2 linked regions of the Caenorhabditis elegans genome follow. The protein of the gene in region 2 purifies or fractionates together with the protein of the main gene of each other region. This does not show direct contact. Each region holds a gene or a part of one and is shown on either strand. Other genes may lie near its edges.

The links. Proteins that work in one complex are often made in the same cells at the same time.
Region 1: the proteins of nep-5 (region 2) and T14B4.3 fractionate together in Caenorhabditis elegans (co-fractionation; one large-scale study listed by BioGRID). This does not show direct contact.

What each region holds. Positions count from the first base shown.
Region 1 is NC_003280.10:6,732,550-6,737,039, reverse strand, and holds T14B4.3 (VWFA domain-containing protein), read right to left. Parts: upstream 2,104-4,490; 5' UTR 2,091-2,103; coding exon 2,054-2,090; intron 2,013-2,053; coding exon 1,881-2,012; intron 1,834-1,880; coding exon 1,211-1,833; intron 1,164-1,210; coding exon 1,065-1,163; 3' UTR 930-1,064; downstream 1-929. Other genes in the region: T14B4.1 (tRNA/rRNA methyltransferase SpoU type domain-containing protein), read right to left, coding at 39-133; mrps-18.C (28S ribosomal protein S18c, mitochondrial), read right to left, coding at 319-429, 477-569, 621-836; T14B4.9 (Core-2/I-Branching enzyme), read left to right, coding at 3,257-3,442, 3,501-3,810, 3,858-3,964, 4,011-4,161, 4,208-4,350, 4,435-4,490.
Region 2 is NC_003280.10:5,485,925-5,491,477, forward strand, and holds nep-5 (NEPrilysin metallopeptidase family), read left to right. Parts: upstream 1-2,219; 5' UTR 2,220-2,226; coding exon 2,227-2,276; intron 2,277-2,323; coding exon 2,324-2,633; intron 2,634-2,677; coding exon 2,678-2,895; intron 2,896-2,945; coding exon 2,946-3,318; intron 3,319-3,367; coding exon 3,368-3,526; intron 3,527-3,571; coding exon 3,572-4,070; intron 4,071-4,115; coding exon 4,116-4,333; intron 4,334-4,378; coding exon 4,379-4,507; intron 4,508-4,553; coding exon 4,554-4,682; 3' UTR 4,683-4,714; downstream 4,715-5,553.

The sequences.
Region 1 (4,490 bases), 1.2 Mb from region 2:
CAGTTAGGATATATAAAACATTTTTAATTCATGCTTACGCTAGAAAGTCAGCCACACTTTCATCTCCATCGACATTTTCAGCTCGTCGATTCCAATATGCGCGAATTTGAATTTCGCTCTCAGCATCGCCCATAATCTAAAAATAGTTGAATTTTAAGTAAAATAAAATTTTACTAATTAGTATCACCAGCGGTATTAAAGTGGGCAGGAGTATCCACTAACTTGATGACTATTCACAGAAACAGATTGTCTAGAGAAAATTTTATATTCTAAAAATAAAAACAAACAGTAATAGTAATTTTAAAAAAACAAAATATTTTAAGCAAACGAATGTGGTCGAATTGGTTTGAGCGGGTCGAACAATTTCGGGTCTCTGGTGTACTTTGGATCCTTTACGAAGATTGGCATGAACCCGGCACGACGCGATTTCTGAATAAAGAATATCGTTTATCTAACTCTATTCCAGTTCATCATACCGCGATTGCTTCAATCAGCTTCTTCTTGTTCTCGTCGCAAAGTCCAGTGATGTGACGATCGTATACACGCCCAGAGAATGTGGAAACAAATTGCTGAAAAAAAGAATTGGATTTTACCGAGCTCCAGTTTAAAACATTTCGTACCTGCAAAAGTCTCGAATTTTTGTAATCGAGTTCAACACCAGTTGAGCACAAGAGGCACTTCCGTGGCTCTTTTGTGTATGGATTATTCTCCAAAATTACGGGCTCATCGTCAGAGCTAACCGAAGGAGATCCCTGCGTGGTTGAACTGGAGCTACATAACCTGAATGTCTGCGGCCTTATGAAACTTCGCACCAACGATGACGCCGATTTTAGCATTCTGAATTGATACTGTTGGATTGCATTGATAAATTTAAAAATGAGATATCTTAAGGTTTAGAACCTGATACACTGATAGTGTTTCAAATGCATAAAGCTGAAGTCTTTATGACATGGCAACAAATACCGGAAAGCGATTAGTCAAAAATGCAAAAAAAAGAACCGTAAAGCCGTAAAGCGAAATAAATTATGAAAATACAGTTTTTACAATCATTTATAAATCTAATTCTAATCTTTCTTCTGTCTACCCATCGATAGTCGAACCAGGATCGTTTTCTTGGCCATATCACTTTCATCAAACATCAACCACAACATCGCAACTGCCGCCTGAAGTTAATTTTTTATTAGAAAGAATGAATTAACATGGGACTTACGAAGACAAGGGAGAATCCCACAAACATCATAATGGCCGCACTTGCCGGATAATCGATATATCTAGCTTGAGTCACTTGCAATACTTTTTGTAACAGCTTAATTCTAGCCTTCTCATCTCTATCAGGCTTCTCGTGAGTATAGATTTCAGCCACCACATTCCCGCCATAACTGTTCTTGATAGCATCTTGTAATGTATCAATACCTCGCTTGATATTTTCTGCCAATTGTTTTCTTTCCATATCTGTTCGCGCATTGGAGACGTCAAGGTGAACACGGTAGTAGTCAACAACATTGGCATTTTTTCGATCTTTCTCCATGATTGCATCCGAAAGTCGATACATATTTTGAAGATCCTCCTTATAAGTATCGTAATTAGCATGGTTTCCCTCAGTATTTCTTTTAAACAACGATGATCCAAATATTCCAGAGGAGTTTACTTCGGCGTGAATCATATCATCACCAAACTGTTGTTTGAAATGTTCTTGAATTTGATTTGGCTGGAATTTATCCGTAAAATTGAAAGCATGTCCGTCATAATCAAAGTTTTCCAGTCCGTCAATAACGATTATCAACAACGCCTTCGGTTTTTGGAACAATTTTTCATCGCCGATCGCCTGATGAGCTGAAATAAGGCAATAAAACATTTTATATTAATAAAATGTTACCTACCTCCAACTGCAGCACCAAGTCCAAAAGCATTCTTGTTGAAATTTAATAATGAAACTGAATCGAAAGACGAATTTCTCGAATCAAGTATGTGGTCGTTTGGCAAAATGATTTGAAGACGCCCGGCAAGGCAAACTGAAATTGAAGTTTTTTGCAAAAAATAAATAAGAAATTACCTTGTAAAAATGATAAAATCCATATAAAACTTCGCATTTTTGGCTTGAAAAGAAGCAAAAATGAGAAATAAAAAACTCACAATTTTTCTGTAACAATGGAGCGCGTTTGCTTTTCTCGTTGAGACACCACAAACCAAGAGAACTTGAAACTCCGTGGAAGTTGATTTCATCAGCATTGGTTACTGTATTTTTTTGCCAAAACTTTTATTGATAAAGTTTTCATCTATGTATACAAAAATATTAAAGGCAGATATTTATTGGGTTTTGAAGAAAACTGTCAAATTTTTTGGTTCCGCGCGCAGAAATGATAATGAAATTGAATTTTGAAGTATATTTTTGCTTAAAAAATTAATACATATCTTTTTTTAATTTTATTCACTGATTGTGATAAAAATAACTTGTAGCAATGAATATTTTCCTTCAAAACGAACATGCAATAAATTTCCTTCACTTGCTTGTTGATAAAAAGGGTGGGTCAATCCAATATGATAGGGTTATCTTCTCAGTTTGTTCCGGTACAAATTGTTATCCAATCAAACTATATTGTCTGTTGAACCTATTGCACAATTGATGCGGCTATTGAAAAGGTGACTTTTTGAAAAAAATTGAATTAAACGGAGGGAAGTAAAATCTTAGATAAATATAAGGATGAATACCTTTTAGTTTCCTTATTAAGAATTACCAGTTTTATAGTTCAAGGCTATTCGATTTACTGGTAACTACCAATTTGATAGATAGATAAAAGATGAGAAGATTCAAAACTATTTCCTCGATTCTAAATATTACAAATAGATTTATGAAAAATGTAACTTTAAACAAGGAATAATGCCTTCACAAATAGGAAAATGAGAGCAATTTTTTATTTTTTCCAGAATTCAAAAACGGTAATTGTTTAGTTTGTTTTCTGCAATGCGAAGGTATCCATTTAAACAAATTACCATCTGTAAATATGACTGTACTTTTCTCGATCAAACAACAAAAAAAAACAATTTTAACAAACAAAAATAAATATTTGAATACTAATTTATAACCCTCAAGAACCCTCAACTTTTGAAGATCAAAAAAAGAAAGTGTGAGACCCAAGTGGATGTAAATGTTTTGAAATGAATGAAATGTTTGGATTCTTTCCAATGTCTGCTCTGGTTCTTCATTCTTTCTCTTTTCATTTCCATCTGTCATCCATTCTTTTCCGTTTTCTCCAAAATGTGCTCCAAATACTCCAGGACCTTCTTCTTCTTATTACTCACAATGCTTGTTTGTACAATTGTGATCTTTTCAATGGCACCTAGAATAACAATGAGTTTTTGGACTTCAAAGGAAACTAATATATTATGGAGACGCAAAGAGACAGCTCATTTGGATTGTGGAAGAATTTTGGCAAATGATAGAGTTAGTAATTTTAAATATTTAAATGTTTAAAAAATAACCCAAAAACATAAAATTTCAGTCTTATATCGAAAAGTTTATTGGTGAGCATCGAATACCCCTGAGCTCAAATTTGGAGAGTTTAGATATGTCATGTTATTCAATTCAAAATCGAATTATTCCATTCAATTTTCATTTGAGGCCGTTGAAAATTGGTGTTGTATTTGCACGAGTTGTCTATAAAGACTATGAATTTTTGGAGAAACAAGTACAAATGTCATATCATCCACAGAATATATTTTGCTTTTTCATTGATTCAAAAAGCAAAGATGATTTTAAATGGAGAATTAGGAGACTTGGTAGATGTCTTCCAAATGTATTTGTAATAGATGGTATACTGATTGAATATATGTATAATTTAAATTAACTAGAGTTTCAGAAGAACTTCGAATAGATTCAGCGGGTCATAATATGAATTTAGCACACTACAAATGCATGGAGAAGATGGTAAAATTACCGGATTGGGATTATTTTATACTGATGCAAGTGGGGAAAACTTTTATTAATAATTGTAAAAATGCAATGTTTTTAGAATCATGACGTCGTTGGAAAATCAGTTTATGAAATATCTAGAATATTTGAGATTCTTGATGGTGCCAACGATATTGATATTGACAAGGAATTCGGGAGAATAGATGAAAGTTTGAAGTGGGATTTGAAAACGTTGAGATTATTTCGAGATGGTTTGTTTTACAGGAGTCTCTACACTCCTGAATTAAGATATTTCAGAGTCTGCTCTCAACTCTACGTACTTGAACAGTACGTTACGAGTTTCCAAAGGATCAGTGCAAGGATCATTGTCGAGAGCAGCAGTAGAATGGATGGTGAAGACAGTAAATCCAAGAGTGTATCTAGATCAATGGAATGAAGGGGTAACAGAATATAATGTTATTTGAGTTGGTTCTAAAATAAATTCAATATCTTTCAAATAGAGAAATTGCAAACTAATTATTCAGGCGTACGGAGTTGATGAACAATGGATATCAACATTTCAAGCCAATGATTTCCTTGG
Region 2 (5,553 bases):
GATGGATTAAAACGAAAGATAGGCTTGATTGTGACAAATGACACTGAAAACAATGATGGAAAGAATACGAAAAAAGAGAGGATTACATTTGATGGAATTTCGAAAAAGAAATGGAGAATGTAGGAGTAGTTTAAATAATTTAGAACAGCAATTATTCAGAAATCAGAATATCCATAAGTGGGTGTAGTTGAACTATTGGAAGAATACATTATGTTCTAAAGTTTGGTTTTTCATTGTTCAACTACATCGTTATTCAAGAAAGCTCTTCCTTGTTCTGGGAATTTTCCAAAGAACAGAATATTTTGGACACAGAAAAAAATGGAAAAGTAGAAAACATTTAAGATGATAAGCAGGCAAAGTTGCAACTCCCGTGCCTGCCTCATTTTTTTAAAAGTTCATATAAAGGCAAATAAATATGTTTTTAGAAGTTTTCCAGATTTTTAAATCAAAACGAATTTGACTTTAAAAAATTTAAAAAATTTAAACAATACTCAAAATCAAAACACAATGTACGTAAGAGTTGGCGTGTTCAAAATGGCCTACTAAGAAACATTCTAAAACCATGGAACTATGTTGAAGTCCTCTTTTCCATTTTTTGTCTAGTTTTGCAAACTAAAGCTAACGACGTCATCACTGTCAAGTTTCCACGAAAAAAATCTGAACTTTTTTTTGGAAAAGACTCATAAGAGAAGTCTCTAAAACGGCTTTAAAAACAAAATAAAAACAAGAAAATAGTTCTAAAAATGGCGAAAATTGCTGCCCGGGGAGTTGATGATGTTGGAGAAATATTAGAACTTGTTATCGCCCTTTAAAAGAAAAATTCAAAAGTTCAATTCTCAGATTGTTATGAAACTTTTTATACTTGTGAATATCTCTTGGGAAAAGACATATGCTGAGCCTAATTGTCCTGGCAGGAGAAATTTCGAAAGATGAATCACTTTTTTGTCTGAAGGAGATGACCTACTGGGAAAGCGAAAAATATGATTAATTGGTAGAAGTTTCGAGAAGGAAAATGTGAAAATGAAAAAGGACAAGATGAAAATCTATGGCTCTGGGAATTTTTGATTTGTTGGGGTGAATAAAAATTGAGTTAACTCCATTTCAAATTTTTTATAACTGAAACGAAGAATGGCCTCTTTCGAGTGCTCAAAAGACCTATGAAATCATTGTTCGGAAACCGACACTAAAGCTGCCAACTTCCAAATAAAGGTCGTGGTTGCCGAAAATTATGGAGTTCGGAAACTTTGACAATTATTTGTTTAGAAAACTCAGAAAAATTCAGAATATGTTGAATCACTCTTTCAGATAAAAAAAAATCTAAAACAAAAATCTCCTTTCAATCTAGAATCCCATCTAAAACCTAAATAATGAAAAAATAAATTACTTGACTCAAGATGAAAGATTAAAGAATAGCGAACATGGCAAATCTCTGAAATCGCATAAATGTCTACAACTGAAAAATGTGCCCAAAAACAAATAAAGTAGTAGGTAGCGGAAGATGAACAAGAAGAAAACCTTCCTATTCACAAAATTTGCCTGCTTTCCAGTTGGTCTCCAAAGTGTTATTTATGTCACTACTCCATTTCTTTTGCATATTCTATGAATTTGGAGAAAGGAGTCAAATTCGAGCTGTTTAGAGCCAAAACAAGTTAAAAGTATTCAAACATGATCTGCACTCGTTGTGGCTTAATAATTAGTACAGGGCCGGCCATAATTGTATATAAACTTTTGTTTTCAGGGCTACTACTCAGTTTAGCTAATGAGGTATGTAGTTAGAACAGCCTTATAAATTCTTGAAACAAAAAAATCGTTTGTAGACTTTTTCTTGCCGAAGTAGGCTTCGTTTAATATAGTTGTTCTTGAGTTATAAGGATTGCAAGATACACTGTTAAAAAAAAAACCCGTGATATGTCGCAAACTTCTGCCATAATTCTCTTCGTCAAATATTCTGATACTATAAAAATGAGGGCAAGATTATGAGCAAGAGTTTGAAAGCCAAAAATCTTTTTTCAAGTGTCTAGCTTCGAACTCATTCAATTTTATGCCAAATAAAGTTCTGAACACGACGTTTGTACACAAGGTTTGCTCCAAAAGAGCGAGCCAATAAGTAATCACGTTCTTATGCCAGGAAAGTTCAGCCACGCAATGCCTTCTATTTTTTAAAAATAAATTCCACGTTATTGAATATTTTTCAACAAAAACACTTTATTACTTCAAATATTCTTTATGAATCCAGTGGATTTTATCAAAAAACCAAAAGAGAACATAATGTCGAAGTGAGTAATTTTTACTTCATTTAATATTAATAATCTCCCAATTTCAGAGATCAATCTTCAATGTTATTCTTTAAAGATCCGGAGAACAAAAATAAAAATCATGTGTCACATGTTGAAATCGGAGTTCCTGATCCAATCGAGGAACTGCAAAAACTGCAAAATCGTCCAGAACCATGCACCGTTCTAGCTGTCATCACGACCCTGGTCATCCTGGTGCTTCTCATTTTTGCTCTCGGAGCGCTGGGTCTCCATGATATTTCGGCGTTTAAATGGGAACCAAAACCCCAGAAAGCACTGAGAATTATGCTGGATCTACCGTGTCAAACAAAGGAATGTGTAAAGTATTCAGCTGAACTGGTAATGGTTTTACAATATATAATCACATTACAAAATATTTTCAGCTTGAATTGATGGATTCTTCGGTGAATCCTTGCGAAAACTTTCATCACCACGTGTGCAATGGCTTCAATCCAAGAAAGAAAGACTTTGAGAGACTCATGAAATTGATCAATATTCAGGAAAAGCCTGATCATCGAAAGGCAGTTAATGTTGTGAGGAGAATGTTGAGCAAATGTGCAATGGGAAAAACTGAAGAGATTCATCAAGTTGGACGATTGAGGTAGGCAGTGGACTTTAGAAAACCTCTGCTGACTCAAGAAATTTTTTCAGCTCAATCATCCTCCCTGGTCTTCCATTCCCGCTTCTCAACAACTCATGGACAAAACCATCTGATCCTATTTCTACTTCAAATTCATCCACGACATACAGTTACCCATTCCTTACAAAAATATTGGCTCATATCATACTTCACAACCCCGATGATGCTGGATTTGTAGGAATCAAACCATCAAGTGACTCTGAATTCTCGTTGTTCGTCGTCAAACCGTTCTCACCTGTTCTCACAAACTTTAAGTTTCGGAATATGTACGATATTTTGAAGCGAAATGCACCGGAGAGCTCCACAAACGGAATGATAGATCTGGAATTCGATAGACAAAGGCAGCTGAATGATGTGATCAAGCTTCAGACAAAATTGGAAAAGGTAAAAGTTGAAACGTTTAAGTAGAATAATAGTAACAAATTTATCTCAGATCGAGTTCAAAGCTGACCCAGAAGTCGTTAATCTGACTGAGATTCAAAGACAGATGCCAATAATTGATTGGAAGAGACTGATTGATTCCTGGATTCCGAATGGCTATGCTCACCTGAAAGAAAAAGTATATGGCTTCAATACCAGTTATTATGAAGAGGTGAAACATAATTTTCTAAAAATATCTAACTCTTTTTTTTTTCAGATAAATGCGATCATCTCATCTACACCTTCTGAAACTATATACAACTTTCTTTTTCTTCGCTTTTCGTTCAAATTCCTTCGAACAGAAGTAGCATCTGATCTGGAAGATACTTGTCTTCATCAGCTGTCAACAACCATTCCTGGAAAAATTGTGCTCTATGGATCCGAAGAACCGGAAGCATTGAACCTTCTAAATGGAATGCTCCACACAATTAAAGATCAACTGAAAAGATCGTTAGCTACATTGAAATGGATGGACAGTCGAGGAATCGAAGAAGCACAGAAAAAGTTTAATAAAACGAAAACAGTTTTTGGATTTACTGGAGAAGATTTGATTGATGAGCTTGTTGGGAAGATAACACCGGAGTCCAATTATATATCAACTCTTCAAAATGTTCTTCTTTGGCAAACCAGAAATATGTTTAAGTCTGTCGCAGAAAACAATGTGACAGTGTTTTTGAATTCGGAAGTTTTCTATTCAGTTGAGAAAAATGAAATAAGTAAGTCTTTCTCTGAAATTCTAAAAAAAAAGAAATTTCTTTCAGCAATTTCACGAGCTCTTCTCCATTATCCTTTCATGTCTGCAAACCTTCCAAACTATACAAATTTCGCAACTATCGCGTCCAAAATTCTTCCCCAAATGATACACATTTTCGATGAACGTGGCAGGTTCTACGATTCGGACGGGAATCATCGTAATTGGTGGAATACTGAAACAGAACGATACTTCCAAATAATAGTACAATGCTTCGATGGGATGATGGTAGGAAAAAACAAATTAGTTCAAGACCAATAAGTTATTATTCAGCAAAACGTCTTTGGCGTCAGCGTCAGTATTGGATGGAATGCTTATGATTCAACTAAAGAACCATATGCCACGCTCCCAGGAATCCAGCAATCATCAGATGAAGCTTTGTTTTTCTACAGCATGGTGAAGGTATGCGGTCTAATTAGTAAATTTTAACATAAAACAGTCGTTTCAGACAATGTGCACCTCGGATCCGGATAACGTGAATGAAGCTCTAGCGAGTGTTCCACAATTCAATTCGGCGTTTAAATGTAACAACGGAACAAAGATGAACCCTCCGACGAAATGCAAACTGGCTTCATGAGTACTTAGTTTTCAATGAATGTGTTTTTATTACATAATAGACTAACAGCTTAAAAAGGAGTCGTTAACATTATAACAGATCATCATTCAAACTCGGAAAGACTCTCCGACTAGTCTTCCCATCCGGTCTGGAAATAAACGCCAAGGCGATTGGAAGAAGCGAGGAAGTTTCATTTTTTTTGTGGTTGGCAGTTTACGAAAACTGCATAATATTGCGATTTTTCAAATAGTTCAAAAAATGTTACAGAAAAGTGGGCTTAGTTCTAGAAATTTCGATCGTTTTAACCAATGTTACACTCGGTTAAAACAATTATCAAGTTTCATTAATAATAAATAAGTAAACTTTCTTATTAGCAAAAATCATCTTCCTAACAATTTAATGAAACGTGACACTTTGAAAAATGCGAAAATTAATATGAAACATTGAATAAACAAAAAACACAACAAATCGATTTTCAATTATTTCGTTTTTTTACCGATTACAAAAATCGGAATCGTTGAGAAAATGGATTCTCAAAAACTACGCACAGAAGGAACCCGAGTGATTGACATCGTGGCTGATTATTGGTATGGACTAAGGAAAAGAAAACCACTTCCCAATGTGAAACCTGGATTTATGACTGCTTTAGTAAGTTTTAAAATTCTCTTTTTTTTTAATTATTCACTTTTTAAAGGTTCCATCAACACCACCAGAAGCGCCGGAAGAATGGGAGAAAATCTATGGCGATTTGGAGAAAGTGGTTTTTAATCCAGCAACTCACTGGAATCATCCACACTTTTTTGCCTATTTCCCAGCCGGACTTGCTTATCATTCAATCATGGCTGATATTCTTAGCAGTGGACTTTCTTCAGTTGGATTCTCGTGGATGGCG